4 linked regions of the Saccharomyces cerevisiae S288C genome follow. The gene in region 2 interacts genetically with the main gene of each other region. Each region holds a gene or a part of one and is shown on either strand. Other genes may lie near its edges. The genes, in order: EAF5, BUD27, SRO7 and IWR1.

What was found.
Region 1: mutations in BUD27 (region 2) and EAF5 together harm fitness more than expected from each alone (negative genetic interaction), as found in Saccharomyces cerevisiae (3 studies listed by BioGRID, with this or other methods).
Region 3: mutations in BUD27 (region 2) and SRO7 together harm fitness more than expected from each alone (negative genetic interaction), as found in Saccharomyces cerevisiae (3 studies listed by BioGRID).
Region 4: mutations in BUD27 (region 2) and IWR1 together harm fitness more than expected from each alone (negative genetic interaction), as found in Saccharomyces cerevisiae (2 studies listed by BioGRID).

Annotation. Positions count from the first base shown.
Region 1 is NC_001137.3:118,475-125,487, reverse strand, and holds EAF5 (Eaf5p), read right to left. Parts: upstream 4,018-7,013; coding exon 3,178-4,017; downstream 1-3,177. Other genes in the region: nucleotide diphosphatase/phosphodiesterase NPP2, read left to right, coding at 1-751; GTT3 (Gtt3p), read right to left, coding at 818-1,831; PMP2 (proteolipid ATPase), read left to right, coding at 2,559-2,690; SUMO ligase MMS21, read left to right, coding at 4,187-4,990; PXP1 (putative indolepyruvate decarboxylase family protein), read left to right, coding at 5,189-6,871. UniProt on the Saccharomyces cerevisiae protein: Component of the NuA4 histone acetyltransferase complex which is involved in transcriptional activation of selected genes principally by acetylation of nucleosomal histone H4 and H2A. The NuA4 complex is also involved in DNA repair.
Region 2 is NC_001138.5:86,461-95,298, reverse strand, and holds BUD27 (prefoldin-like protein), read right to left. Parts: upstream 4,314-8,838; coding exon 1,923-4,313; downstream 1-1,922. Other genes in the region: FRS2 (phenylalanine--tRNA ligase subunit alpha), read left to right, coding at 289-1,800; EPL1 (Epl1p), read left to right, coding at 4,954-7,452; BST1 (Bst1p), read left to right, coding at 8,065-8,838. UniProt on the Saccharomyces cerevisiae protein: Involved in gene expression controlled by TOR kinase and nutrient signaling. May also be involved in positioning the proximal bud pole signal.
Region 3 is NC_001148.4:630,475-640,151, reverse strand, and holds SRO7 (Rab GTPase-binding protein SRO7), read right to left. Parts: upstream 6,030-9,677; coding exon 2,928-6,029; downstream 1-2,927. Other genes in the region: ARP7 (Arp7p), read right to left, coding at 1-627; HTS1 (histidine--tRNA ligase), read left to right, coding at 1,133-2,773; NTO1 (Nto1p), read right to left, coding at 6,391-8,637; CSR2 (Csr2p), read right to left, coding at 8,907-9,677. UniProt on the Saccharomyces cerevisiae protein: Acts as an allosteric regulator of polarized exocytosis by promoting the targeted fusion of vesicles with the plasma membrane.
Region 4 is NC_001136.10:252,274-259,605, forward strand, and holds IWR1 (Iwr1p), read right to left. Parts: upstream 2,854-7,332; coding exon 2,772-2,853; intron 2,702-2,771; coding exon 1,722-2,701; downstream 1-1,721. Other genes in the region: NUP84 (Nup84p), read left to right, coding at 1-1,473; YDL114W (short-chain dehydrogenase/reductase), read left to right, coding at 3,331-4,257; ATG20 (Atg20p), read right to left, coding at 4,360-6,282; TRM3 (tRNA (guanosine(18)-2'-O)-methyltransferase), read left to right, coding at 6,642-7,332. UniProt on the Saccharomyces cerevisiae protein: Directs RNA polymerase II nuclear import. Binds RNA polymerase II in the active center cleft between the two largest subunits in the cytoplasm.

The sequences.
Region 1 (7,013 bases), on a different chromosome or scaffold from region 2:
TAGGCCAGAATTGGTCATAAGTTATATACCCAATGTTGATTCGTACGGACACAGTTTTGGATACGATTTACGAGATAAGCGGCTACAAAAGCTGATCGGTGAAGTCGATGGATTCTTTCTCGATTTGATTGAAGGCCTGCAAAAAAGAAACTTGTTGAAAATTAGCAATGTTATGATTGTTAGTGACCATGGCATGAGCAATGTCAACGCGAATGACGGTGAGCATGTTGTTGTGTGGGAAAGGGTGTTCCCGGCCGACGCAATGAGCGCATTTATTTCGCATCTTTATAACGAGGGCCCCATGATGATGGTATGTTTGAAAAACCCTCGAGACAAGCAATGGATTTGTGACTTGATTGAAGCTCAGTTAGAGAAAGCATATGGAGATGAAATATCGAGGAAGTTTCACGTGATCCTGAAAGAAGATTTCGACCCGAGCTGGAAATATTTCCAATACGATAACAGAAAGCACAGATATGACGATAGGGTCGGCGATATCTGGATTCTCGCAGATGAATACTACGCCATTGTAAAAGAAATGGGTGATGTGCCTATCGGCATTATGGGCACACATGGATACAACTTTAACAACTGTAGTGATATGGCATCTATATTCATTGGAATGGGTCCGATGTTCAACAATGAAGTCGTACCTCCATTTGAAAACATCGAAGTATACAATATGCTGATCAAGGCAAGTGCGCTTTTGGGAGAAGAAAAGACAAAGAAGGAGAAGAGTTTATTACAATAATACAGAGTAGTAAATACACACTTCGCGGCTTACGTACGCGTGTGTATACGTATGTAAGAAAATATACTATAATACGTATAGAGTGAGGAGACAACTAACCATGGAGAATACTAGAGGTACCATACCAAGGGAACGGTTCACTGTACAGAGTTGTGTCCATAGTTGGTTAACACATCGAAAAGAATGGAAATCTATGTTTTTATTATTACAAGTTTTGAAGATTGCCAAAGAAATCAAGAATTTCGTGAGATTGAAAGTCATCGGGTCCAACTCGATGTTCAGGTCGTAGCGGATGAAGTTGATGTAGTATGACACTAACGTTGGAATACCCCTAAAGAAGAGCAGCCACGTGAGTATTGGTAAACAGAAATCGAGCGTGTATTGATATTTATTATGGGCGGCAACGGCGGCTTCCAGCGACGATGCGAGCGAAGAAGAAGAAGTTGGCTGCCCGGCGGCTAATATGTTTCTCACCAGAAAAGAGAATTCCAACAAGGAAAAAATCGTATCGACGGCGGAAATAGTGGAAAGATAGTCCTGAACATTTTCATTCAATTTCTGCGTTTGGTATCTAATATCGGAGAGGTATTCCTGAAAGTTAAACTTGAACTTAGTAAACGCAGAGGTGGACGAGTCGTTATCTGTGCTAAAATCCAACAAATTGAAGTTCGTTTTGGCGTTTGAATTTGCATTCCTGCTGGAAAGCGGCTTTGTCGCGCTTGTTTCATCGCCTGATTGCGGTTTCTCATCATCATCCTCCTTGATGTACGCTTTCTCCAGATCGGAATCATTTGTGGCGGTGTCACAGGATCCAGACCCAGACCCGTTTCCAGATCCGGATCCGTATTCGTTCCGTTCATCCTTTGACTGGTCCACTGTCATCGACTCATAAAAGGACCTTAGTTCCGGGTAGTCGTCTTTAAAATCCACAGGTTTCTCAAGATGATTCAAGTGCGATTCGAGGTAATCGATCATATCACTCTTCTTGGCATAATTGGGGAAGCCGTCAATTTCCAGCTTGTTGGCCAGGTCAATTAGGTCCGCCTTCTTCCAGCGACTAAAAGTTGACTTGGTCGGCATATTGTATTATAATGATCTGTGATGGGCTGTAATGCACTTTCACTTTTGTTTTCTCCCCTTGTATATAGATATTTTCGCACGTTGTTTACGTATTGTGTAGTTCTTTTTGTTATGAGTGACGAATGCACGCAAGTAGCGCGCAGGAAATTATCATCATATACGTATATCATCATATACGATTTACCACTTTTAGCACATTAACAGCTCGGGAAAGAGTTTCGGAACTCGGAAAAAGCACGACAAACGAGGGCGAGCCACTAAATTACCGCAATCCTACGACCACAGCAGCCCGGGCCCTCTCCAAAACCGCGCTCTAGCCCGCTCTGCTTACTCCCTGTGCAGCGCCGCCCGCGGTAGCACTGGCCAACACCCTGACGCAACTCGTCACCACGCTGTTGAGCTGTTTTCGAAATCCGTCCGCAGCCCTCCCTAGCTTTTGCATCAAAAAAAACCTCTCGCTATTTTTCCGGCGCGGATACTTAATTTCCTTAACGAATTACAGAACTTTTTTCTCTCTTTCTCTTCCACACCTTTTGGTTTAAATAAACAGTGAAAAAAACTAAAATTCCGTAATCACAACTCAATTTCCTTTCCTTCCTCTTGGTTAATATAAAATCAATTCTTCTTCCCTTCCAGTTTTTTCTCTTTCGTCCTTCCTTCTTCCTTTCTCTTTTTCTCCATCGTATACATACAAAACAATAAATAGTACAATAACAATTATACAAAGATGTTGATGAGCACGTTACCAGGTGGTGTTATCTTAGTTTTTATTCTAGTCGGTTTGGCTTGTATCGCCATCATTTCTACCATTATCTACAGAAAATGGCAAGCTAGACAAAGAGGTTTACAAAGATTCTAAGCGATCACTAGCAAGCCAAACGAGCTTGATGTTGTTTTCTCTTAGTTATCCTCTTTTTTTTTTTTTTTTCAATTACTGAATATTAATGAATAAATTAGACCTCTTTTCTCCCCAACCCTTTTAATTTCTAATAATTAATTAATTTTTCCTGTGTGTGTGCTATATTCCTACTTTGTATCTGTGCTGTTCGATTCCTCTGTTGGAACGATGTGATTTGCGTGGGCGTTTTATCGCAAAAAAGTTTTGGGCATGCGGGCGTGAATGGATGTTGTTTGCCGTGTGTGGGCAAATACACCCTGCTCTTCGTTTTGTTTGTCCCGTTCTTTCCCATTTTTACCTACCTACTATGTTTTTTTTTGAGAAACATGTCGCTTCATTTGTTATATATTGTTCTGTTAAAGAATTGTGTGTGTATTTTTTTAATAAAATAGTATATAATAGTAATGTTACAAGACTTTAGATTTTCGAAGTGTCGCCTACTATCTCCTTACTCTAGTGCTCTTCTCATGAACTGCACCGTATCATCCAATTCAAACTGCACTTGTCTAGCCAATTTCCAGTCGTCCGTACCAATGACCTTTCGCATTACACCGTCCGTTATGCTCTTTTGAAGAATCAGCTGCAGTTCATGAACGCTGCCGGGCGTTTCGTTCTTTATGTCTTCGTAATTTATCTCATTCTTGATAATGCTACCATCGGGACTCTTGAATAGCTTCTGAAAATTCCCAGTTTTACTTTCCAATTTATTCAGAACGGTATCTCTGTATAATTTCAATAGTTTTTCTCTTTTTGGGTCCATTGAATGCGCCATGTGTGGCGTAGTCGTAGTTATAGTAGCACTGGTACCAGCAGATCCACTTTTGCCAGCATTTGCATGTGGTTGCAGTTGCGATGCACCGGTCTTTATACCGTTCTTCAATATCTCATCCTCCATCATCCTTATTTGTTCGACCTGCGTTTTCTTGAATCGATCGTACTTTTCGTCAAGGAGCTTCTCGATATCATGCATTTCCAAACCGTGTAGACTAAGTTGTCCATCGTTTAGTGTTGTTCTGTACTCTGGGAATAAATTCTTAACTATGGTCAGGATATCGTTGATGCCCAGTTTCCTGTTTCCATTTGCCACGTTGCTTTGCCTTCTTAAATTTGTCAGCTCGTTGATTAGCAAATTGTTTTGTATTTCGTTAGTCAACTTGACTAGCGATATTCGAAGATTATTCCCAATCATGTTGATTCCTCCCCCGTTCCTAACCAGTTCTTCATTCTTGTTGGAAATTAAAGTGTGTATTAGCTGCAACACTACCAATTCACTTACCTCTTTATCCATCTATGCGTTCCTTTGATTCTGGTTACTCCGGCACGCAGAAGTATCTTTTTACCAGTGCTTCTCTGGTTATTTTCTTCCTCTTTTCCTGTGTAGAAAAAAACTTGCTAAAATAATCGTGTCAGTTAAAGAAACCAAGGCAAGACTATATAAAAAAAGAATAACTTTAAAAATGGCCTTGAACGATAATCCTATACCCAAGTCAGTTCCTCTACACCCAAAATCAGGTAAGTACTTCCATAATTTACATGCCCGAGACTTATCAAATATATATCAACAATGCTACAAACAAATTGATGAGACCATAAATCAATTAGTGGATTCTACATCTCCTTCCACCATCGGCATTGAAGAGCAGGTCGCAGATATTACTAGCACCTACAAACTCCTCTCGACATACGAATCGGAATCCAACTCATTTGACGAACATATTAAAGATTTAAAAAAAAATTTCAAACAATCCTCAGATGCCTGTCCGCAAATCGACCTTTCTACCTGGGATAAATATCGTACCGGAGAACTCACCGCTCCCAAATTATCTGAATTATATCTAAATATGCCCACACCAGAGCCTGCAACCATGGTTAATAACACAGATACACTCAAGATACTAAAAGTGTTGCCGTACATATGGAATGATCCAACTTGTGTAATACCGGATCTGCAAAACCCCGCAGACGAAGACGATCTACAAATAGAAGGTGGTAAAATTGAATTGACTTGTCCTATCACCTGCAAACCTTACGAAGCACCATTGATATCAAGAAAATGTAATCACGTCTTCGATAGAGACGGCATTCAAAACTATTTACAAGGATACACGACAAGAGATTGCCCGCAAGCAGCGTGTTCTCAAGTCGTTTCAATGAGGGATTTTGTAAGAGACCCTATTATGGAACTAAGGTGTAAGATCGCCAAGATGAAAGAATCTCAGGAACAGGATAAAAGAAGTAGTCAAGCCATCGATGTTTTATGAAAACAAAATTATTGTTTCTCTTATCCGAGCCCTTCGGCCCGAAGTTCAAGCAAAGCTAACTAAAGAAAAAAGTTGGAAATTTACAAAAGGTTGGTATATAACCACATTATATATAAAGGAAAAAAAAGGCATTGGTTACTTTTATGTGATAAGAAGAATATACTCTCTACATTCAAACCGTCACAACCATCCATCAATATGACCACGACCGCTACCCAACACTTCGCTCAACTTTTACAAAAATATGGCATCGACACAGTCTTTGGAATTGTGGGCATCCCTATTGTCCAACTAGCGGATACGATGGTTGCCAACGGTATCAAATTCATTCCATGCAGGAACGAACAGGCTGCCTCATATGCAGCCTCTGCTTATGGTTATATTAGTGATAAGCCCGGCGTGTTACTTATTGTCGGGGGCCCCGGTTTAATCCACGCACTGGCTGGTATATACAACTCAATGAGTAATAGGTGGCCTCTTCTAGTAATTGCAGGGAGTTCTTCTCAAAGTGATATACATAAAGGCGGGTTTCAAGAGTTGGATCAAGTTAGTCTTTTGTCCCCATTTTTGAAGTTTACCGGAAAGTTAACCCCTGACAATATTGACATGATTACTCAGAAGGCTTTGAATTACTGTATACAAGGCACTGCAGGGGTTTCTTACATAGACGTCCCTGCAGATTTTATTGAGTATGAAAAACCCTTAGAAGGAAACGACCGTACAGGAAATGAATTACCGATGATATTAACTCCAAACATATGTGGCCCTGATCCGTCGAAGATCAAAAAAGTCGTACAGCTTATTTTGCAACATAAAAATAAAAATATTCTGATTGTTATTGGAAAGGGTGCGGTAAAAAACTCACACGAAATCCGCAGACTAGTAAATACGTTCAATCTACCATTTTTACCCACCCCAATGGCTAAGGGAATTGTCCCAGACTCTTCTCCACTGAACGTTTCATCTGCAAGATCTCAAGCATTGAAAATAGCGGATATTGTTCTTGTTCTCGGGGCAAGATTAAACTGGATATTGCATTTTGGTACTTCACCCAAATGGAACTCAGAATCCATATTCATCCAGTTCGATTCCAATCCCGAAACCTTGGGGGATAACAATGTCTCACCTGGTGCTGACCTTTCCATATGGGGAGATATAGGCTTGAGCGTAACCGCTTTAGTTGAGGAATTGACTCGCCAAGATTCCTGCTGGAAGTATAGTGGTGTTAAGCAAGAAATACGAGAGAAAATTCAACTGAATCAAACTCGTCTATTGAGGAAAGAGAAGACTAGAGGGGCACAATTGAATTACAACCAGGTTTATGGAACATTGAGGCCTCTTATCGATGATTACAGGACAATACTTGTGACGGAGGGAGCAAATACTATGGATATTGCGCGTATTTCATTCCCTACAGACGCTCCAAGGCGCCGTTTAGACGCAGGGACCAACGCGACTATGGGGATTGGGCTCGGATATGCTCTTGCATGCAAGGCATCTCATCCGGAACTCGATGTGGTGCTGATTCAGGGTGATTCCGCATTTGGATTCTCTGCCATGGAAATTGAAACGGCAGTAAGGTGTCAGCTGGCATTGGTCATCGTTGTGATGAACAATAGCGGTATTTACCATGGAGAAAAGGATATAGAGGGTGATTTACCTCCAACGGCACTAAGCAAGAACTGCCGTTACGATCTCGTAGGCAAAGGACTGGGTGCCAATGATTTTTTTGTCAACACAATAAGCGAACTGAGCAGATGCTTCCAACAAGCCGTGCAGCTTTCTCGGACTAAAAGAGAAACAAGTGTCATCAACGTTATCATTGAGCCTGGCGAACAAAAGCAAATTGCCTTTGCCTGGCAGAATAAACCGCGTTTATAGTAAATATGCATGTATATATATATATATATATATATATATGTTCATCTCTCTTATAGATGTCAATCTAAATACTTACAACACACATTAATGAATACCTCGTATACGTTTAAGGGCAAATGTACTCTCGCAGAAGGAAATATTG
Region 2 (8,838 bases):
TCGACCATATTGAATCAAACAAAGAAAAGAGGCAGGAAAAACAGAAAAAAAAAATTTTTCTGTTTTTCTCTACCTCTTTTCTTTTCAGTAAACTTTGTTCCTCTCTACGTGAAAAATGCTTGAAAAATTAATAAAACGCATTGCTGTAATCTTGAACGTACGCAGTACTTGTGGTTAATGCACATGTAAAGTTGTGAATACATTTCCATATATATACATATATATATATATCTTACGTATATATACATTAAAGGCACCCCCCTCCCTCTCTCACCCCCTAACGTAAAGATGTCTGACTTCCAATTAGAAATTCTAAAAAAACTAGATGAATTGGATGAGATCAAGTCCACACTGGCAACTTTCCCTCAGCACGGCTCTCAAGATGTTCTTTCCGCTTTGAACTCTTTGAAAGCCCACAACAAGTTAGAGTTTTCCAAGGTCGACACGGTTACGTATGACTTGACCAAAGAAGGTGCTCAAATTTTGAATGAAGGTTCGTACGAAATTAAACTAGTCAAGCTCATCCAAGAGTTGGGTCAACTTCAAATCAAAGATGTGATGTCCAAACTGGGTCCTCAAGTTGGTAAGGTCGGTCAGGCTAGAGCTTTCAAGAACGGCTGGATCGCCAAAAACGCCTCAAACGAGCTTGAACTCTCCGCAAAATTGCAAAATACCGATTTAAATGAGCTTACTGATGAAACGCAATCTATTCTAGCGCAAATCAAGAACAACTCGCATCTGGATAGCATTGACGCCAAGATTTTGAACGACTTGAAGAAAAGAAAGTTAATTGCTCAAGGTAAAATCACAGATTTCAACGTTACCAAAGGGCCAGAGTTCTCGACCGACCTCACCAAATTGGAAACCGATCTTACCTCCGACATGGTCTCCACCAATGCATACAAGGACTTGAAGTTCAAGCCTTACAATTTCAATTCTCAAGGTGTGCAAATATCTTCAGGTGCTCTTCACCCCTTAAACAAAGTCAGAGAGGAATTTAGACAAATTTTCTTTTCCATGGGATTCACAGAGATGCCCTCGAACCAATACGTCGAGACAGGTTTCTGGAACTTCGATGCCCTTTACGTCCCACAACAGCATCCTGCTCGTGACCTGCAAGACACTTTCTACATCAAGGACCCACTAACCGCTGACTTGCCCGATGACAAGACATACATGGACAATATCAAAGCCGTTCACGAACAGGGGAGATTCGGGTCCATCGGTTATCGTTACAACTGGAAGCCAGAAGAATGTCAAAAATTGGTCTTGAGAACTCACTCCACAGCCATCTCTGCCAGAATGCTGCACGATTTGGCCAAAGATCCAAAGCCCACCAGATTGTTTTCTATCGACCGTGTTTTCCGTAACGAAGCAGTTGACGCCACCCATTTGGCCGAATTCCACCAGGTGGAAGGTGTTCTTGCCGACTACAACATTACTCTGGGTGACCTGATCAAGTTCATGGAAGAGTTTTTCGAAAGAATGGGTGTCACCGGTTTGAGATTCAAGCCTACCTACAATCCTTACACCGAGCCATCAATGGAAATCTTTTCTTGGCACGAAGGTTTGCAAAAATGGGTCGAAATCGGTAACTCTGGTATGTTCAGACCAGAAATGCTCGAGTCCATGGGTCTACCAAAGGATCTAAGAGTCCTTGGTTGGGGGTTATCCTTGGAAAGACCTACCATGATCAAATATAAGGTTCAAAACATCAGAGAACTGTTAGGTCATAAAGTCTCTTTGGACTTTATCGAAACCAATCCTGCTGCTAGATTGGACGAAGACTTGTACGAATAAGCTCAGCAGTTCCTCTAGTTTTATATCGTCTGTCCCCAATTTTGTAGTAGTTATTGTACACAAAACAAATATATACGTATATGTTAATATAGATTCTGATTTACTTTCTGTCTCCATATGGGTTATGGTTTACTGTCCATATGGAGCCGTTGAGAGCGGAAACGACTTGTCTTGACCGGGTTCCCGAACTTATCAATAGGCTCCAATTCGCCTTCAGTGTGTGCGGCGGGTGATGATGATTGCCATTTCGACGCGGTAGCTTCTTTCAACCGTCTGTACTCTATAGCAACCTCTTCCTGTAGCCGGCCCGGATGTAGTGCTACTTCGTCCTCGTCATTTGTGTAACTTTCAGGAAATTCATGCTCAATGATATCATTCATAACATTGCCATCATTTTCCTCCTCCTCCATCGTCACTGGCTTGTTTTCTAGTTGAAAGTCTCGAATTTCGTCACGCAGCAACTCCACCTGCTTATTGTATTCTTTGAAATCCTCGAGCTTTTCCACTATGGTTCCTGGATCTTCCTCTAAATCGTCGTCATATAACCCCAATGAATATGCCTTGACCATATCATCCAAGTTTCCACCTAGGGCGTGATAATCGACATTTGTAATTCTAACCGGCTCACTCCCTACTGTGGCGCCCGTCTTAGCCATCGACCTAGACACCTCTTGGATTTTTGAAGGAAATTTATCTTGCTCATCAGTGTTATTTTTACTTTTGTTGGACAAAAGTTTCTTATTACCATCGTCATCATCATCATAATCGTCATCACTTATATTTTCGAGAATTTTGGGATCAAATTTTTTTTTCATTGATTTCGATGATCTTGGTTTTTGCAGTGATTTTAGCTTTTTCTTTTTAAAAGGAGTCTCAAACTCGCTCTTGCTGTTAATTTCCGGTTCTTTTTCCACTATATCGTTGATAGTAGGTTCTTTTTCTATAATATCCCCCACAACAGGCTTCCTTTCCACTATATCGTTGACAGCAGGCTCCCTTTCCACTATATCGGTGACAGCAGGCTCTTTTTCTATAACATCCCCCACAACAGGTTCTTTTTCTATAACATCCCCCACAACAGGTTCTTTTTCTATAATATCCCCCACAACAGGCTCTTTTTCCACTACCTCGTTCTCCACTGACCTTGTCGTTTCCTGTTTGAAAGTTGATAACGTATTTTCTTTTTTAGAAGCTCTATCCTTCCGGAATCTGGACACCCTAGTTCTTCTATTCGACCTGCTTGCTTCCCCTTCAAGTCTCTCTTGATTTATCAGTTCCTCTTTATATTTTTCATGCACTTCATCGGCCTCTTGGACACCCAACATCTTAGCAAATAAATCACCATCAAACTCATCCGATGTCATTTTATTAGCGATACCTGTGCTTTCCTGGGTTTCATACATGGGCACCGCAAAGGATTGCATCTGCCTCTTGTTCTCTTCTTTCAAGTTTTCGACTTCGTGAATTTCTAGAGAAGATGCAAACCCGACTTGTTTCTTTTTCTGCTTTTTGTCTGAATTCTCAGCAAAAGAAGACTTTTTCAAAATAGGTTTTAATGATTTATTAACGTCACCTTCTTCCCTCTCATGATCTTGGGATTGCTTTTGTGCGCGTAGGCGTTGAATTTGTTGTAAAAATGAGGACTGCGCTTCAAAGCCAGGTATAATAGAATGATTTAGATACTCTTCTTCATCTTCGTCCTCGTCATCCTCTTCATAGTTATCATTGACTTTGAAATTGGAGTTTTCGAACGCATCATAATCATAATTTATTTCATCAGTTTCAATATAGCCGTCCTCCAATTCATCTTGTTGGTCCATCTGTTGGACCAAGTCGGCAAATGTATACACGTTTTCTGTATCTACTTTAGATGGCTGCACTTTTTTCTTTACTTCATCGTTCCTTTTCAATAACTTTCCTTTCAAGTTTTCTTCGAATGACTTTGATTTCTTCTCCTTTGCTAATCCTTTCTCCTTTGGACCGACTGCAGGTGTCTGTTCTTTTTTGGAATTCGATTGTGATGGTTGCTTTGTTGTAGGGGTAACGGAACTACTTATGACATTTCCCTCGTCATCTAGTTCTTCTCTAATCTCCATAGAGGGCAGAAAATCTTCGTCGTTGTTCGCTTCGTCTTCTTCAATTCCATTTCCGTCCTCCATGTGATTCAAGTTGTCTAAGGTCTTTTTAGCCTCTTCGATCTTCAGGTTAAATTGCTCAATGGCGTCCTCCATTAGTTTTAATTTATCATCAACAAACGTGATGGCCTCCTCTTTGGTCTTTTCAACGTAATACTCATAGCCTAGACTTAGATATATCTTACTCGTAGAAATTATGATATCACCAAACACCATCCCTTGGCCTTCGCCTTCTTCTTCGCCATCATCATTGTCATTGATAAATCTAACCAGTCGGCTTCTGATATCTATATAGTGCTCTCTTTGTTCCGAAAGAAAGTTTCTCTTATCTTGCAGATTTTTCAACGTACTTTCTACGCTGGCCGCTAACAAATCCATGGCTATTACAGTCTGAGGATACCTGTTTACTATAAAATTCTACAGAATATTCATACAACACTCTCTGTTAAAACCTTTAAGAGCAGCTCATCGCCTATCCTCCAAGGATAAATTTCAAAACACCCAAACATTAGGGTTACCCGTATATCGCTACTTCTTCCCATACTCGCTCACCATAGTTAGCACCCCATACCGCAGGAGTAAGCGAGAAACAAAGGGATAGAGGAAAAAAATTTTCTCCGTCGGCCGCGGGTGGCAAAAGCACGATCCGACCACAAAATTGTACTATTACATATCACATGGTATAGCATACAAGCAATACCTGTGAGAGGTTACTACACAAAAGCAAAAAAGTTTGCAAAAATCAGCCAAAACTGTGCTCGTATTCTGGTGGTCATTAGACACTCGCAATATTATTACACCACATCGCGTTCCTCTGAGCTGCTATAATAAAATAAACGCTATCTATTTTTGACTCCTCTTTTTGCCACCCTCGCCTTCCTTTTGTCCATATTCTCACATTGTACGGCAACTGCGGACTTCAGGTCAACATAAATAAAAATTGCACACGATAGGGTAACATTATAGTCACGTGCTTATAAAAACATTGTAATAACATTAGCAAATAACGATAATAACGATGCCGACACCTTCAAACGCTATAGAGATCAATGACGGTTCGCATAAATCTGGTAGAAGCACTAGGCGGTCTGGATCTAGGAGTGCGCACGATGACGGTCTAGATTCATTCTCAAAAGGCGATTCAGGTGCTGGAGCCAGTGCTGGTAGCAGTAATAGTCGATTTAGACATCGAAAAATATCTGTGAAGCAACATCTTAAGATATATCTGCCTAACGATCTGAAACACCTGGATAAAGATGAATTGCAACAGAGAGAGGTGGTTGAGATCGAAACTGGTGTAGAAAAAAATGAAGAAAAGGAGGTCCATTTGCATCGAATATTACAAATGGGTTCTGGTCATACAAAGCACAAAGACTATATTCCGACCCCGGATGCTTCTATGACTTGGAATGAATATGATAAGTTTTATACGGGCAGTTTCCAGGAGACCACCAGCTACATCAAATTTTCTGCCACTGTGGAGGATTGCTGTGGTACCAACTACAATATGGATGAAAGAGATGAGACCTTTTTAAATGAACAAGTCAACAAAGGTTCATCAGACATTTTAACTGAAGACGAATTTGAAATACTTTGTTCCAGTTTTGAACATGCTATTCACGAGCGTCAACCATTCTTGAGTATGGATCCGGAAAGTATACTTTCTTTTGAAGAATTGAAGCCCACATTAATAAAATCAGATATGGCTGATTTCAATCTAAGAAACCAGCTGAATCATGAAATAAATTCTCATAAAACACATTTTATCACACAATTCGACCCCGTATCTCAAATGAATACGAGACCTTTAATTCAGCTGATAGAGAAGTTCGGCTCTAAAATTTATGATTATTGGAGAGAAAGAAAAATTGAAGTTAACGGGTACGAAATTTTTCCGCAGCTGAAATTTGAAAGGCCGGGTGAAAAAGAAGAGATTGATCCCTACGTCTGTTTCAGAAGAAGAGAAGTGAGACATCCGCGGAAAACAAGACGTATAGATATCTTAAACAGTCAGCGTTTAAGGGCGTTGCATCAAGAATTGAAAAACGCGAAGGACTTGGCCCTGCTTGTTGCTAAACGTGAGAACGTTTCCCTAAATTGGATTAATGATGAATTAAAAATATTCGATCAAAGGGTAAAAATTAAGAATTTGAAAAGATCTTTGAACATTAGTGGAGAAGACGATGACTTGATTAACCACAAGAGAAAACGCCCCACGATTGTTACGGTCGAACAAAGGGAAGCTGAACTAAGGAAAGCTGAACTTAAGAGAGCAGCTGCTGCAGCAGCGGCAGCGAAGGCAAAGAACAATAAAAGGAATAACCAACTTGAAGACAAATCTTCTAGGCTCACCAAGCAGCAACAGCAGCAACTGTTACAGCAACAACAACAACAACAGCAAAATGCCCTTAAGACTGAAAACGGAAAGCAACTCGCGAATGCATCCTCTTCTTCAACATCACAGCCAATTACGTCTCATGTTTATGTCAAACTACCATCTTCCAAAATTCCTGACATTGTATTGGAAGACGTGGATGCTCTATTGAACAGCAAAGAAAAAAATGCAAGAAAGTTCGTTCAGGAAAAGATGGAGAAACGGAAAATTGAAGACGCAGATGTCTTTTTCAACTTAACGGACGATCCCTTTAATCCTGTATTTGACATGTCGTTGCCTAAAAATTTTTCGACTAGTAATGTTCCCTTTGCATCTATCGCGTCATCCAAGTTTCAGATAGATAGATCTTTTTATTCTTCACATTTACCAGAATACTTGAAGGGGATATCTGATGACATCAGAATATATGATTCAAATGGCCGTTCGAGAAACAAAGATAATTACAACTTGGATACCAAAAGAATCAAAAAAACTGAACTGTACGACCCATTCCAAGAAAATTTGGAAATTCATTCGAGAGAGTATCCAATAAAATTCAGGAAGAGAGTTGGTAGATCTAATATTAAGTATGTTGATCGTATGCCAAATTTTACAACATCGTCGACCAAGTCTGCATGTTCTTTAATGGATTTTGTAGATTTCGATTCAATCGAAAAAGAACAATATTCAAGAGAAGGTAGTAACGATACTGACTCGATTAATGTTTACGATTCCAAATACGACGAATTTGTCAGACTTTACGACAAGTGGAAGTATGATTCTCCACAAAATGAATATGGGATCAAGTTTTCAGATGAACCGGCAAGACTTAACCAGATTTCAAATGATACTCAGGTGATTAGATTCGGAACAATGTTGGGTACGAAGTCCTACGAACAATTAAGGGAAGCCACCATAAAGTATCGTAGGGACTATATCACCAGACTGAAACAAAAGCATATACAACATTTACAACAGCAACAACAACAGCAGCAGCAGCAACAGCAGCAAGCACAACAACAAAAGCAGAAATCACAGAACAATAATTCAAATTCTTCGAACTCCCTAAAAAAATTAAATGATTCGTTAATCAATTCAGAAGCGAAACAGAACTCTTCTATAACCCAGAAAAATTCATCATGAGCAGCACAACTTTGTACCTCTCGAACATCTTTCTACGCATTGGCATTTAACAAACCTGACATTCAAAGTTTACTACGAAAGTCGAGGCAACATTACTGAAGATTCAAATCACCGAAATGAACACCGATAACGCAATAATAATGAAAAAAAACAAAAAACAAAAAAAGATAACTACAATAAATTTCAAAAGAAAAATAGCAAGTATCATCCGGCTGTAATATTATCACCTTCACAAGACTACATATTTTTAACGTTTTTTTTAATTTCCATTTCACACGGTTGTGACCTTTTGATTTTTCGCATGATTTCATCCCAAATGCTTGATGTATTTAAGTTAGATTCATACTCTTATATAGACAATTGCATAACTCACTAGGTACCCTCAAATAAATGCATTTCTTCTTATTATCCATTTTTTTTTCCTGTATGGCGCGAATTTTGAAAAAGGTCTAAATATACCAACCAAGTCATAACAAGAAAAAGTAAAAATGAGTCTCAACACATTCCTTGCAGTTCCATCTGATAGTAAATTCACACTCGAAATACTCCCTCTACTTTAAAGCATTGGCCTATATCTTAGGCTTACCATCATACAAAAATCTTCATTTCGTTATGGGTATCAGGAGATTAGTTAGTGTTATAACGCGGCCCATAATTAATAAAGTTAACTCATCTGGTCAATACTCGAGAGTACTCGCTACGCGTGAAGACCAGGATAAAGCTTCCCCCAAATATATGAACAATGATAAGATAGCAAAAAAACCTTACACATATCGCCTTTTCTCTATTCTTGGCATTTTAAGCATTTGCTCGCTTTTATTGATATCGCTACTGAAACCTTTTAATGGTGCAGATGCTCCTCAGTGTGAATCTATCTATATGTTTCCATCTTACGCAAGGATCGATGGATTTGACGAGAGGTATACACCACTGGCACACAAGTATCATCTTTACTTGTATCGAGAACAAAGCGTAGACCGAGAACCTTTAAATGGTGATGAGTTACAACTTGATGGTATCCCTGTACTTTTTATACCCGGAAATGCAGGTTCTTTTAGGCAATGCAGATCGATTGCTTCCGCTTGCTCCAATATATATTTTGATTCCAATACCAGGGCGACTCTGCGTAACGAAAATGTGCGAAATTTGGACTTCTTTACGGCAGATTTCAATGAAGATTTCACTGCGTTTCATGGTGAAACAATGCTTGATCAAGCTGAATACCTAAATGATGCCATTAAGTACATCTTGTCTCTTTACGAAAGGACCCCTGATTACCCACATCCAAAACCGCAGTCAGTTATTATCGTGGGACATTCCATGGGCGGTATTGTATCCAGGGTCATGCTAACTTTGAAGAACCACGTACCGGGAAGTATAAGCACC
Region 3 (9,677 bases), on a different chromosome or scaffold from region 2:
GTTTTCCATGTCGTTCTCTTCTTTAATCAGTGGAGCCAACCTTTCGTGTACTTGAAAATCCAAGAAATCACCGCCAAATTTAGATCTCACTACAGCATTCTTCACCACAATACCGTCAATGATGGGAGTAACGTTACAGCCTGACGCGCCGATATCAATCACGAATGCAGAACTCTTGCCCATGGATAGGGCAATTGCCAATGGCTCGATTACAATCTGGAATACTGGTACATTTAATTTGTCGAACGCCAGCTCATAGTAGCGCTCTAATATGGCCATGTCCGGTTTACCATTGGTGGCAGGCATCGTAATCACCAGTGGCAGTTCCTCGGGTGAAACTTTCAATTGGGTGTCGTACAGATATCTCCACTGCATCTCCAATGCGTCCCAATTGTACGGTAACCCTTGGCTATCTACCAATGTATACACCTCGTCACCATTGCGTTTTTCTGCCGCAGCGTCTATCATATTGTAGGTTCCGAATATAAACTCAGCTTCCCCCCCCTCATCTGTTCTTTTAATATAGCTAGAGGGTATAATGCATTGTGGCAATTCAACGTTACTAAATCCAGCCACCGTTCTGTGCGATCCGTTATGTATCACTACGCACTTCCTATTCAATGTCATTCTTGACAGATCCTTTATAATGTAGTAATTCTCGCGCTTTTGCTAATAGCCTACTACTCTGTTCTATCTCTCTTGTTTACCATTTTCCGCTTTGTTTTCTTGTTTGAGGTTTGCTTTATTTTTTCTTTATTTTCTTCGAAACGCGGCCATCATTTTTTTTTTTCAGGATCACTCAAGGTGAACAAGTCTAAGTATTGAAAGGTGTGAAGACTTGCCGATGATATACTTATATGAACGCCGTGATGCGTACGTCTTTGATGGAAATATTGTATATATCTCTTTCTTTCCTTATAATCACTGTTCTCTCTTGTGTAATAAGTAAATCTATTCGTTTCCGTGTAAGGCGATAATTTTTTTGTTTGAAATTTTTTATCAAGTTTTTTTTTTTCTTCAATTCTAACCAGCTCGAAGATGACTTATGGCCTTGATCGACCGGGCTTTTAAATGAGTCTTACGGCCCAATGTGTTACTTTAGAATAGTTCCTTTCTGCTCGTCTCTTGCTTAATGCTTAGTAGATCACTAAATAAAGTAGTCACATCTATAAAGTCGTCTTCGATAATCAGGATGTCATCCGCTACCGCTGCTGCTACTTCTGCTCCTACTGCTAATGCTGCTAATGCTCTAAAAGCTTCAAAGGCTCCAAAGAAAGGTAAACTACAAGTGTCTTTGAAAACACCTAAGGGTACGAAGGATTGGGCTGATAGTGATATGGTTATCAGAGAAGCCATTTTTAGCACTTTATCTGGCCTATTCAAGAAGCATGGTGGTGTCACTATCGACACACCTGTTTTCGAGTTAAGAGAAATTTTAGCAGGCAAGTATGGTGAGGACTCCAAACTGATCTACAACTTGGAGGACCAGGGTGGTGAATTATGTTCTTTACGTTACGATTTGACCGTTCCTTTTGCCAGGTACGTTGCCATGAACAATATTCAGAGTATCAAGAGGTATCACATTGCAAAAGTCTACAGAAGAGACCAACCAGCCATGACTAAGGGTCGTATGAGAGAATTTTACCAGTGTGATTTTGACGTTGCAGGCACATTCGAATCTATGGTTCCTGATTCCGAATGTTTGTCCATTTTAGTGGAAGGTTTGACCAGTTTGGGAATCAAAGATTTCAAAATCAAATTGAATCACAGGAAGATTCTTGATGGGATCTTCCAAATCGCTGGTGTTAAAGATGAGGATGTGAGGAAAATCTCTTCTGCTGTCGATAAGTTGGACAAATCTCCATGGGAAGCAGTCAAGAAGGAAATGACCGAAGAAAAAGGTCAATCCGAAGAAACTGCTGATAAAATCGGTGAGTATGTTAAATTAAATGGTTCTTTGAAGGAAATTCACGCTGTTCTATCCGCAGATGCCAACATTACTTCAAACGAAAAGGCTAAACAAGGTTTGGATGATATTGCTACTTTGATGAAGTATACCGAAGCATTTGACATTGACTCATTCATCTCTTTTGATCTTTCTCTTGCAAGAGGTTTGGATTACTATACAGGTTTGATCTATGAAGTTGTTACTTCTGCATCTGCTCCACCAGAGAATGCTTCAGAATTGAAGAAGAAGGCCAAATCTGCAGAAGACGCGTCAGAATTCGTTGGTGTCGGCTCTATTGCAGCCGGTGGTCGATATGATAATTTGGTCAACATGTTCTCTGAAGCTTCCGGCAAAAAATCTACTCAAATTCCATGTGTTGGTATTTCATTTGGTGTTGAAAGAATATTTTCTTTGATCAAACAAAGAATTAATTCCTCTACAACTATAAAGCCAACGGCTACACAGGTGTTCGTTATGGCTTTTGGTGGTGGTAAGGACTGGACTGGTTATTTACCCGAAAGAATGAAGGTTACTAAGCAATTATGGGATGCTGGCATTGAAGCTGAATATGTCTATAAGGCCAAGGCTAATCCTAGGAAGCAATTCGATGCTGCTGAAAAAGCGGGTTGTCACATTGCCGTAATCCTCGGTAAGGAGGAGTACTTAGAAGGTAAATTACGTGTCAAAAGATTGGGCCAAGAATTTGCCGATGATGATGGTGAATTGGTTAGTGCGGCTGACATTGTTCCTATTGTTCAAGAAAAGTTATCACAAATTCATGAAGATGGTCTAAATGAGGTCACTCGTTTAATTAAAGGATTATAAACTTGATAGCTCATGTATTTACAAACCTTCGTAAAACTAGACATGTATAATGAAAAATAAATCGATTCAAATTAATTTATAAAGCATATAGAACTAAAAAAAAATAAGTATAGAAGGAAGTTGCTCATTACCCTGTATGAATTAGTGTATGTATTTAAAAACCAAGGGCACCTTTCATTACATCTTTTCCAGTCTGCTCAACAGCCTCGTTCATTGTTTCTCCCATGGCGGTAGCATAGTCGTTGAATCTATCTTCAACGGCGTCCCATCTAGTTTCTACAGCTCGAGAAACATTTCTTAGTACCCCGTAACTACTGTTCCTGCCCTTACGGGTGGGCTTGGTATACTGGTGTTCCGGATGGTTCGCATTATTATCGTCTGAAGAACGCTCCGAGAAACTTCCCTCAGCAATGATGCTCTCTTTGTATTTGGATGCAGGTCTATTCACGCCACCCAATAATTCATTTAATTGAGCGGGAGTACAATATACAGTGCCTCTTGCCCACTGTAATGAATTTACTTGTGGCCTATAGGGAATCCTGATTCCATTGATGTACAGTGTGTCAGAAACTGGCGCTAGCGTATCCTGTTCCTTGACAGTAGAAAATAGTGACGCCTGAAATTCACTCACTCGAATCGCTATATCACCATTTCTTAAAACAGATGATTCTGTAATGTATTTTGCGGCAATTGGAAATGGAATATGTTCAGACATTTGTTCTTTGAAATCTGGAATAGTAAAAACTCTTAGATGGCCATTGATTTCTAATGTAATTATTACGGTTAGGTTCTTCCTATCATTATTTTTCTCAACGGTTGAGATGTAAGATAAACCTGTCGCGGCAAGCGGGTATTTGAAACCTTTATGTGTACTTTTAGATTTGCCCAGTGTTATTAATCTGATATCATCGAATCCAGTTATTAATACAATACCAGGAATGCAAAGGCCTTTACTTAAATTCTGCATTTTTGGAATAGTTGCCAAGCAGCTAGATTTTGTTTCCTTTGAAAATGCATCAATTTTGTGTATCGGACCCTTACTGGTAACATTAGTAATATCCATTAGTTGCACATCGAACTTTCCACCTGATGCAGGAAGAATTTTGTATGTGATTACCTCGCCCATATCAGTACCACAGACCATCAATATACTAGAGTAACCATCGTCTCCATACTCCATAATTACGAATTCGATGCAGGTAACACATGCGCTTTGAGCTCCCGAGATTTCTCTAATGTTTTCCATGTAAATGATTGCAGGACCTCTTCTATCGATCAACATAAGGCTTCCGGCAGCATATGCGATTCCAACAAATCCAATATTACTGTTGTTGATTGCAGATGTTTTCCCTTTGTTGGCATGCACGGCAGTTGATGGCATAAATCCCTGCCTAACACCGGTAGGTGCCCTGTCTCTCACATCGACGAGAACACCATTCGTATTATTCAAAGAAAACCGCCTGAAATTCATCTCCAGGTCACCGCTTTCTGGTCTGTTCTCAACACTGTAAAACTGGTTTACTTCATATTTGAATAAAACAACGTCTCCTGTTTCAATTGACACCGCCAACTCGAGAGTCTCTGCGGCAAAAGATATCTTATCAACTGCTAGTTCTTTGGCCTTGTTCAACGTTCTTGATAGATTCACTTCAAAGCTAGCATTATCTTGTATATCCCCATGGGAAGCATCGTATATCCTAACTGAGCCATTAGAATGGCCGGTAATGAATGCTGTACCGTACTCAGCGGGAAGTTTTTGCCTTTTTGTTCTAACCCCTCCCTTCAACAAATAATCCTTGTTTTGAGCTGCAGAAAGCGCACCAAGCCATAATTTGTTTGGTACAGAAGCGGCCATTGAAGTCGTGGCTAATGGTCTCAGCCAGGAAAGATTTTGAGGGAATAAAGAGGCTTTATCTGTAAATATTCCAGAAGGATATAGCATTGTTTCTATCTCACCGTTACCTAGGATTAACAAAATTAACCCCGGATTATGACATCCTGCAAAATACGGGGACTGTCTTGGAATTGGTAGTATATTCACTATTGGCACATTGGTTGGTAAGGGAAATATCTTCATTTGTTTCGGATTTGCATAGTAGTTCTTCATACCTTCATAAGAGGTTATTGAATATCTAGGTGTGTAACCGAGGTCGATCATAGTGAGACTTTGATTATCTCCTCTGCTGATTGACTTATGAGAGATGAGTAGTGAAGTATATTCTGGATTGTTTTCACACATCCAATACACTTTCGAAATTTTGGCAGCATTAGTACTAGAATCGCGTATGTAATCAGGTTGTGGAACATTGATTTCTGTCTCAAACACTGTCCTTGCCATGATCATATGGCCTGAATTAGCATCCCAGAAAACCAAGGAATTGTCTTCATGAATAGTGATAATGTGCAGTGAATTAGGGTGATATAAGGACTGAATAACTTTGGGAGTTCTCTTTTCATTGGTTTTTTCTGAGAAGTCGCCTCCTGGAGCAAAAGGTGGTAATTCGTATATGAAGGATTGTTTGATTTCGTTCTCAACCAATGAGTATGTTAGAGTTACATACTCATATGATATTAAAACAGTTCCAATATCTCTAGGGTTCCACTGAATGGATACTATAGGTGATAGTCTTGCAGCCGGAAAAAATGAGCTTTTTTGTAGGTTGTCTAATTTGAAGGAGGAAAGTTGATCCCTATCTATGTCGTAAACTATCATTGAACCATTTTGAAGGCCGATTAGCATCCAGTCTAAGGATGCATCTGTGTCAATTGATGTTATTTTCCCCGGAACAAACACTGTTGTAAGTACTTTTTGAGAATATAACGATAAAACATACACAGTATCTTTTGCGTTAATGACCACCAAATAGATACCTTTCACAAATCTCATTTCTTTTATAGCAGATCTATCCTCCAGTTTTATAACCACTTCCACTTGTTGCTGGCCATAAATATGGACTTCCCCTGTGACTGTAGCAATTGCCAATAAATTTTGGGTGAAATCGAAAGCGGCTGCGATCGGTTTACTGCTCATCCCATATTTGTTGGTTTCTGCTAGTGAAAAAATTTTATTTTTGTTATTTGAACTTATAGGAATCTTCAAAGAAGAGGAAGATTTCGCATCTTTGGAAATAGTAGATGTCTTTGAATTTTTGGATTTAAAAGACGCCTTTGAGTTCTCAATGGGTGTCTCTGAATTTTGGCCTTTTAGGGACTTAAATGCTTCCTTAACATTTTTCAGACGTTTGCTACCGAACATTTTGTTTTGCTCTTATGTGTATAGAGAATTAGTCAGAAATAGTATTGCTTGCTCTTCTTGTTTTATATTTAACATATTCCAAGATTTAAATTCTAACGTGATTAGGTTCATTTCGTTTGAATTTTCATTTTTTACTTTTAACAAAAGCGCCGAACAGGATTCTAGAAATTAAACAAAACCAACTAAACTATAAAAACGGATATTTAGTTCGGTATTGAAATGCTAAAGAATAAAGAAAAGACGACCTTTCTAAGTTATTTTTACTAAGTGTTCCATGAAAGTAAATAATAAGCCAAACTTTTACAAGAATAGCATAAAAATACATACTCATTATACATAATGCAATATTAAAACCTTTATTTTATCCGCTGTTAAGGATTAGCTTCAGCATACGGTGTTCCCCTGCACTCAGTTCTTCTGCATCGCTTAAACCTTCTTCTTCCATAATCACCGGGCCACTCCATGGTCTTTCTTCTATCTTGTCATCATTTATTATAAAATCTCTGGATAGCAACTTCTTAATATCTACATGTTCTATGAGCCCAATTAAATTTGTTACTTGCTCTTTTGCCTTTGATGAGACAGTTTGGAGTATTCTTGATGCACCGGGTAGAGTTTCCAAAACCTCAAAAAAATGCATAATTTCCTCCTTAAAAATTTGGACAGTATCAAAATCACAATGTTTACACTTTTCTAAAATAACCAATAATTTAGGTTCAGTAACCAATCTTTCAAGAGCCTTGAATTGTTCAGATTTTATAAAGATATCCAGTACATTGATTTTTAAAAGATATTTTTGGGGCGATTTAACTATATCAAAAACCTTCTTTCGGGATCTGGACAAGCTGTTTGAAGCTTGTGTTCTCTTTTTCACCAAAGTAGTCAGCTCTTTGAGCCGGTACAAGTCTTCGAGCTGATCATTGGCAAAATCTATTCTTGTTTGCACTTGTTCCTCGGTTAAGGACCCCAATGAATTATTTTCAAAACAGGCAGTTAATGGGGTACCTCCTGTAAGCTCCCTTTTCATTGACCAATATTTGCAAATATCAAATGCGCCTGCTGGTGGGTTAGCTAAGCCAAAAAAATCAACGACCTTTTGCAATATTTCAGCAAAAACATGTGGTGCTACCGGCGTTTGATTAGGTGTTTTCCAAATTGTTTTGTTGAATTTTGAATTTGTCCTATCATTAGCTTCATTATGCTGAGGAGTTTCGGTTTGTAATGTAGAGAGTAGAGAGAAGTATTTTCTAGCTTTATTAATACCTTCTATACTCGTTTGCCATCCTCTAGGTGCATGCTTGTGGCAGAAACTTTCGACTGAATACTTTTGGGAGAATTGATTAGAGGCCAATTCTTGAATAGTGCATTTCCCTTTACTCATGTAGAGACCAGCTCGACGGGCACACGTGACATGATATGCTGTAAAACAGTTTCTTTGAAAGCACTGAATGCAAGCACCCATCTTCTTTTTACAGATGTAGCAGTTAAGTTTCCATCGTGATACGCTAACATTTTGAACGCCTTCTATAGGTTCCATATAATGTAAGTTTGAAAAGTATAGCTCTGGAAGCCATAGAGCACAAATGTTATGTACCCAAGAACCGGTGTCTGTTTGTTTGAATGCACCTGTATGACTTGGACACATTAGACAAGTGGCAAAGTTATTTTTTGAGATCATACATCGTCTACATAACCATTTTCCTTCCGGGATAAAAATTATACCGTAACATTCTTGATGCACAGCAATATCGCATCCATCACAAAAGACAATTGTATTCAGATTGTCACTGTCTGTGCCTAAACAAACTGCACACGCCTGGTCCATCGATAAACCTGTTCCATCATCAGAACCATATAGCTCATAATTCTTACAGTCCCTTAGAATATTATGCCTAGCAATCAGACTATTCGTTGAGGGTATATGTTTTTCAATATGGAACCATTCAGTTTCTAGTGTAGTCATTAAAATTTCAAATATTTCGTGAGACATTTGATCTTTAAAATACCTCTTATTAAGGTAGTGCAAATATAATTCATCCTGTTCATCCATGTCATACTGAGGCTTGAAATTAACAAGATTGGGTGAAATACTAGCGAATTTCTGAATTGCACTCTTTGTACTCGTCGAAATAGTAATATTCGGGGCTTCTTTACTAGAGAATTTGGTGAAGTAGGGTGCCTCCACACCATCGAATTCTTTTTGTTGTTGTTTATAACTCTTCCTATTTCTTACTTTGTTTATATGATAGTACCTGGATATAAAGCTCTCATTAAATCTAACGCAGTATGGATTTTTCTTACCTTTTAACTCATTCGTAGTTATTTTACATTTTTGAAATTCCACTTCGTTCTTCTTCAGTACTAGTGGTTCAGTGGTGACTCTCCCCTTGAAAATCAATTCTTTAGTTTGTACGCTTTTGACACTCCCGATCTCTCTGTTATTCCGATTTGAAATATCATCTGAGTCAGTATCGGTGCTGTTATCCTTTGTTTCCACTAAGGGAACGATGAACGGCAGTAAAGTATCGGCATTAAGATCAGGATAAAAATCTTGGAAGTGCTTTTCTTCACGTAGTTTAGGCCCATCATCTAATGATCCCCTATTCATTAGGTGCTAAGTCGTACAACGCCCTTGTCAAAGTTATTTGAATAAAAAAACCTAATACGTTGAAAAACTGCACGGCTTTCAAACTTTCAAACTTGTTTATTATTATCGTCTTCCATTTTTTTCGGTGCTACAATTTGCGATGAGCCGAAAGACATATATTCTACGTATATTACACGAAAAAAAAAGTTAGTTCGGACAGGTACATATTTGTACAAATGTATATATATATGTGTGTGTGAGGTTTATAAAAAAAGTGAAGATATTAATATTTATGATGAAATCTCGTCATATCTTGGTGGTTCAGGACCCGGATGAATTATTGGACCAGGCCCCTCTGTATCATTATCATTATTATCATTATCATTATAATTGTAGTCGGTATTGGTAAAAGTGCGCGGACTATACCGTGGTGTGAATATATTATTGTTAAAGTTCATTGTGACAATGTCTCTTTTAAATAGCGTGGCCGCGGTCTCCTGTTCAAAGATATCCTGCGAAAGCAAACCGTCCATATTGCTATAGGCGTTATTTTCATTCCCCATTTGTAGCGCATAATCTTCAGTCCTCAAGGGGCGTGCTTGTTGCTCTTGCTGGTCCCGGATTGGGGCACCGTTAGACGAGTCCGAAACAGCGGTTGTTTTTGGATGTAAGGTTGACAGGTAACCATTTGCGAGGGAAGTCGACCTAGACAAATTCAACTGTTGCATGGAAATGTCATCGGGATAATAAGATACAGAAGATCTTGGTGATGCTGAAACTGATGTTGCCTCTTCAAAAGTTGGTGGCAGGACTTTAGAAGATTCAGTGGTGGCCATGTCATAAGTCGGTAAGTCTATATTTGAAGTGTTACAAAGGTCAGAAATCAAATAAATTGGTGTATCAACAATTACTTCATAATGCCTTATGATTTTTGAGCTACCACTATCAGTTTTGCTAACCCTCAAGACGATTTCTAATTTATGAGAACATTGGATATTCTTAAAATGCATACTGTCCAAATATAAACCGCGTCTTGGTTTATTCAACCGTGTGTAGTGCTG
Region 4 (7,332 bases), on a different chromosome or scaffold from region 2:
ATCAAGAAGCACTCTTTGTGGAGAAGAACAGTTTACAGCCTTTCGCAGCAGGCCGGTTTGGACCCTTATGAAAGGGCGATATACAGCTATTTGAGTGGCGCTATTCCCAACCAAGAAGTTCTGCAATATTCGGATTGGGAGTCTGATCTGCACATACACTTAAATCAAATTTTACAAACTGAAATTGAAAATTATCTTTTGGAAAACAATCAAGTAGGTACTGATGAACTGATTTTACCATTACCTTCACACGCGCTAACTGTACAAGAGGTGCTTAATAGAGTGGCTTCAAGGCATCCCTCAGAAAGTGAACATCCAATCAGAGTTTTAATGGCATCTGTCATACTAGATTCTTTGCCATCAGTTATTCATTCATCCGTGGAAATGTTGCTTGATGTCGTCAAGGGAACCGAAGCTAGTAACGATATTATAGATAAGCCTTATCTTCTGAGGATAGTTACACATTTAGCCATTTGCCTTGATATAATTAATCCAGGTTCTGTTGAAGAGGTTGATAAGTCCAAGCTCATTACTACGTATATCAGTCTTCTGAAATTGCAAGGCCTTTATGAAAATATTCCAATATATGCTACTTTCCTGAATGAGTCAGACTGCTTAGAGGCATGCTCTTTCATATTGTCTTCTTTAGAGGACCCCCAAGTAAGGAAAAAGCAAATTGAGACAATAAACTTTCTAAGATTACCTGCCTCAAATATTTTGAGAAGAACCACACAGCGTGTTTTCGATGAAACCGAACAAGAATATTCACCATCTAACGAAATTTCCATATCTTTCGATGTAAACAACATTGATATGCACTTAATATATGGCGTGGAATGGCTTATTGAAGGGAAGCTTTATGTGGACGCTGTCCACTCTATCATTGCCTTATCGAGGAGATTTTTGTTAAATGGCCGCGTAAAGGCTCTCGAACAATTTATGGAGAGAAATAATATTGGAGAAATATGCAAGAATTATGAATTAGAGAAAATAGCCGATAACATATCAAAGGATGAAAATGAAGATCAGTTTTTGGAAGAAATAACTCAATATGAGCATTTGATAAAGGGCATAAGAGAATATGAAGAATGGCAAAAATCCGTTAGCTTGTTAAGCTCTGAATCGAACATTCCTACTTTAATAGAGAAATTGCAAGGTTTTTCAAAGGATACATTTGAATTGATCAAGACATTTTTAGTAGATTTAACTTCCTCTAATTTCGCGGATTCGGCAGATTATGAAATCCTGTATGAGATTAGAGCCCTATATACTCCATTTCTACTGATGGAATTGCATAAAAAGTTAGTGGAAGCCGCAAAGTTGTTAAAGATCCCAAAATTTATTTCGGAAGCCCTGGCATTTACCTCATTGGTCGCTAATGAGAACGACAAGATTTATTTATTATTCCAATCTAGTGGAAAGTTAAAAGAGTATCTGGATCTCGTTGCTCGCACAGCAACCCTTTCGAACTGATCAATTAATGTATTGCAGAATAAGTTTATATTTTAAGTAAACAGCAATAATTTTATGCATTTCTTCTATCTATTTCAGAAGTAATTGACGTGATTTTTTATAGTTTTGCTTTGAATCTTTGTGTTTCCACACCGGAGAAAAAAAAGTTCATGAAGTGAAAAAGCGGTTAAACATGAATTTTCTACTATCTAAAGATAAAATTACAGATGCAGTTACTTACATACATTGAACAGTTTCTGACGGCAAATTTAGCTTCTATTAATTTTTTTCTGTAGCTGATGAAAAATTCTGTCCCTATGATGCGCCAATGGGTCATCAACATCCGTCGGAAAAAATTCATTTCTAGGGTATTCAATATCATCTCCTTCATCAGAATCATCTTCGTTATCACTTATCTCTATTTCACCTTCTTGGCCATCCAAGTCAATGAAATTCGAGGAATTTATGGATTTCAAGACATCACTTTTTCCTCCAAGCCTGTTAAAAAGATCCCCGTACTCTTCCTCCACATCGTGGTACCCATTAGATCCCTGAATTTTATCGTCATTCCAAGAGGAAAACCTGCTCTTATTAACCCCTATAACAATCTCTTCACCCAATGCAGCTATATCCTCTCCTTCGCTACCAAATAGAATAGATCTATCATCATCTTCATCCTCCGGATAATCATTTTGGTAATAGTTTTCGTCATTAGAATCCTCATCGTCTGAACGGGCTTCATTGGGATCACTTTCTTCATCAAGAGCCAAATCTATATGCTCAATAATTTTCACAAACCCTATATTTTTCTCGTTGTTATATCTAGCAACCTCATCGTCATGAATTTTCTCCAAATGGTAGATGTCAAAAACGTAATCTAAACTGGGTAGTGATGCAATTTTTGCAGAATCCCCAGTAAAATATTTCCTACTTGGTTTTTTTCTTTCTGTCTTTTCTACACCTTTATTCAACTTTAAATAGTCATTCACCATTTGATTGATCTCTGGCGGTAACCCATCGTCATCTACAGTACTTCCTTCTGCTGCAAGCCGCTGTTGTGATTTTTCATCATCTGAGTCTCTACGACTTTTTTTTCTTTGTTCCAATACAAAATGTCGATGATCTTCATGAGCCAGTTTTAAGAGTGGCGTAGAAGACTCTTGCTCGGATTGATAGCTTTCAGAGCTCACAGTCTTTGATAATTTAAATATGAACTTCTGCTTCTTCACTCTTTTCCCCTCATCAATTACTGAATTGTCCCAGATGAACTTAGTTAGTCAAACGCATTTTTGTTATATCGGTAGAATAACAACACATACATAATGCCTGCACAGAATCCTCATCCCTTCTTCTCTTTACTCTGATAAACTCAGGTGCCGTTGTGGTACTAATAGTGCTCATTCCCGAAATCTTGTATGCCTACCTCAACAAAAGCTATACCTCAGAGAGCAGTTTTATATACCATCTCTTGTTCTCATCAATAACTTGTCTTGAGCATTACACAATTTAAATCCCCTGTGCCGACACAAACAAGAGATAACCCGGAATCAATATTATCTGATTGGGCTCCTAAATATCGCATCTGTGGACTTGAATCCACATGCTGCGAACTTATTTGAAGCAACAATTACTTCTGTTGGAAGCGTGGTAGTGCCAAATCAGACTTGCTCTTTAGTTTTCTTATGTTAACGCTTTACTGCCTTTTTCTTCTATATTTTTGAACGTCAATATGTAGCGGGCGTCAGCAGAGGAACAGAATTTGTGACACTTCTTGAATGAACATTTCTCATATCTGAAACCGCATCATCAAAAGGACACCTCAATAGAGATTCAGTGACATATTTAACATAGTTTTATGGGTAAGAAATATTATTAATTATGGTACGCAAGAATAAAATAAATAGAGCGAGTGGAACTACAAAACACCTCAAGGATTTTCCATCAGTCATCCTAAGTCTGCCCAGCTACAACCCTTCCATCCTTTCTAAAAATGCAACTGCACTAATAACCGGTGGTTCTAGTGGACTCGGATTTGAACTTGCAAAGGAACTTTCCAGAAGAATTAATAAAGTTATTGTGGCAGATATTCAATCATTTCCTACTTTTGCTCAGGTAGAATATAATAACATTTTCTACTATCAATGCGACATAACAAGTCTAGATGAAATTAAAAATTTGAAAAAAGCTATTGAAAGAGATCATGGCAACATTAATATAATTATAAATAATGCTGGTGTTGCTCACATCAAAAAGTTAGAACATATGACAAACAAGGAGGTAGAACAATTGATCGACATAAACTTAATAGGTGCTTACCGAATCATCAGTACATTTGCAGAAGATATGATAGACAATAGGGAAGGCTTTATAATTAACATTGCTTCAGTCCTCGGAGAACTGACTCCTGCAAGGCTGACATCGTATGGTGCATCAAAAGGAGCAATGATTGGTTTTCACAAGTGTATGAGCAGGCATTTCAGAAGTTTGTCCACGGAATGTAATAAAACTGGAATAAAAACACTACTGGTGTGCCCGGGAAAAATCAAAACTAATATGTTTATTGATGTCCCTACACCATCTAAGTTATTGGCTCCTGACATCATACCTTCCCAACTGGCACTAGCGATAATCTCTGCGATGGAGCATAATCATCTGCAAACACTAAATGCCCCATATTATGTGAACCTAGTTCCCTTTTTCAAAACTTTGAGTTGGCCATATAGGCATCTCTTAAAACATTTCAGTGGAATGGACCATGTAACGTCAACCAGCCCGCGAGCAATAAATCCGAAGAGAAGTGCATAATATTTTAGTCTATTTAATACATTTGACGTTATTTGATCTTCACGTTGTTTATATATATATATATCAAGTATGCTATAACGCTAAAAAAAAATGCTCATAATACTATGCAAAATCTTGATGTCTTTTGACTTCTTTCCAAATTTCTAAATTTTGACGGGCATAATTTCTCATATATCTGGAATAATGCTTTAAAATTTCTGATAAATCTACTTCCCTTTCTTTAGAAAATTTAGGTAGCTGGTCATTTTTGATGACTTTTGAAATGACCTCCAAATCATTCTCAGTAACTTCCAATGATTCAGACAGTTGTTCAATTTCTTTCTTCAAATTGATACTTGCGGTATGCGGATCTGTTTCTTGATACTTCACAGAATCTTTTACCATTGATGCCAATTTGTTAAATCCATTGAATAGTTTGCCACCATATGATTTCCCACCGCTACCTGTATTATTATTAGGGCGTTCCAGATTAATAGTATGACTTTTAGACATTTCGTTGTCAATTATTTTGTCAACATCCTTATATTCATTGTTTTGCGCTTCCAGCTTCTCCAACTGTGCTCTTTTGGAATTCAGAGACTTTTTAATCATTTCATTTTGCAGGTATTTCAATTTTCTGTATTTGATCAATTCTCTTGCAGAAGTTGCCATATGAACAGATTCATTTAAAGGCTCATTTATATTGTAGTATAGTCTTCCAACTAATTTTTCTAAAGAAATCGAGGACCCCGAAAAGGCATTGCTTAAGTAAGAAAGCTGTTCGGCCAATTCCCCAACTTGAGCCTGTTCATGGGCAAACTGTGCAAATACCTCACCGATTTCATTGTAATCCGATTTCAAATCGTGATAAGTCTTCGTGGTTCGTCTATTATACTTATAAATCCCGTTATCTAACAAGTTCTCATATTGCTTGTAATCCTGTTCAATATTAGTAAACGACTTACTTCTTTCCTTATCCATTTTTTTGTCGTTGGACTCCTTATTCAACAATAACTGTGACGAGGAGCCCGGTATTGGTAACATGGCATGAATTCTAGTGGTGTTAGTGGGATCTAGTGGATTACACTGGAGGATGCTCTTCGGTAAAGATGAAAAAGTGGACGAACTGTTAACAAATTCATGCCAATTATGGTTATTAGGATCCAAAAAATCGGTAATTATAGATGTTTTTGTGATTTCTTCGTTCGTCAAAAGTTTGTTCAAGAACTCAGTGAGCATTCTTATCCTATGCCGTATTAACTTTTCATCACTATTATTGACCGACGCATGTATCACAGACAATGATAGATCTACTGAACCAGAACCTTCTGAGGGCAGCAAATACTTTGAACTCGAACCAGTTATTGACTTACCATAATTCTTTATTGACTGCTTTTCTGGAATCGGCGGTATCAACGTCATAGGAAACAATCTTATCAAGATACTTCTCAAACTCTCGAAATCGCTGTAACGTCTCTGAACGGTAGAATTTTCAAACTGAATAACATAGGCGATGTAGGCTCTTCCTTGACCTTCGGAAACTCTTTTCGCTTCAAGTATGTGTATCCTAGCGGACTTCTTTCTATTACTTACAGAAGGTTCTTCTGACGCAGAGGTCTCTCCGTTCATGGAGTTAATACTTCCACTAAGACTTGTTCTACATGTTTCTGCATTCGATTCTTGGTTTAAAGGCAATAATCCCTCAGAGTCATCCTCGTAATCTTCATTCGGGTTCTTTAGGTTATGGCTTCTCATACCGGGTATTTCTAATAAAGCTGATTTTGTGAATCCTGTTGGCCCCTCCTCCATGAATGGGTTGTCTTTTTCTAACAGGGCTGTGTGTACTAACTCAGTTTCTACTTTGTTATTGTCCCCCTTTCCAACCTTACCCTTTTTTGGGCTCTTTTTTGGCGATCCAACTCCATTCTTAGAAATTTCTGCCTCTGCCACATACTCAGTTGTCCCATGAGGTGGTTCAGCCTTTCCTGTATTCCGAGTTTCCGAATTCAATTTAGCATTTTCTTGGACATCATTTAAGTCTGACATTGTGTGCTGTAGAAGACAACTTTTCTAGATGGTATGTTCAATTGCACCACCAGTATTCGAGCTAGTCATCTCTTCATTTTGGAGATGACTTGCTGTAAATCGATAAATATTGGCTTACTCAATAGCCATATCTTAAAGGGGGCACAATGGGTGAGTTGTCGGGTAAGGGAATGTAGATCACGTGAATGAAAATTCAAGTGTTTTTCGAAAAGTTTCACCATGGCGATGAGCAAGATTGAAACAGCACTATTGTAACTATATAATTGCTAGTAAGCAAATAAGCCAAGCCTTATTAAAATCCGGTGAAAAGAATTGTTTAACGAACGTTACAAACTCTATACCTTTTTTTTACCAGCAAAATGGTTGGAGGTGCTCTCATCTGCAAATATTTACCACGCGAAGAGCAACTAAAGCTTATATCAGACTTGATTCAGAATGACAGCTTAGAAGAGGTGCTGGAGTTGATTGAAACTTCGCCACTGGATATAACGACGGACAGCAACATTGAAACACCAATCTTTGAAAAAATTACTGAGCAGGTCATTGCGTATGCTAGTATAGACGGTGAAGCCAGGGAAATGTTTCGCTCTTCGAGGGCTGAAATGAACAAGGCGCTAAGAACTTCTGCACAATTACTATGTTGTTTACCCAGTGTATGGCATAAATTTCAGGTGTGGATGAGCTACCGGTTAAATGACATCATTAGCGAAAACTATAAACATCTCTTCAATGACAACTTTGGAAAAAAGATTGTACAACCATTTTTCGATTCTTTTGCTGAGGAACAAAACGCTAATATCAAGCATGAAAATCTGCACTTAGATATCCTTAGCCTGCTTCACTACTTAGAAGTTGTATATTTATTTGACGAATGTAAGAATGGTATATCGTCCAAATGCCTAGATTTTATCATTGTTCCATTGTTAGGCTGTAATTCGGAAGAGATTGCTGATTCCTGCTCCAAGTTAATGAGATGGCATATCAAATATTTATCGAAATGCTGCAATACCGATAGTAACTTTGATAAGCTCATTTGGACATTTATCAAAC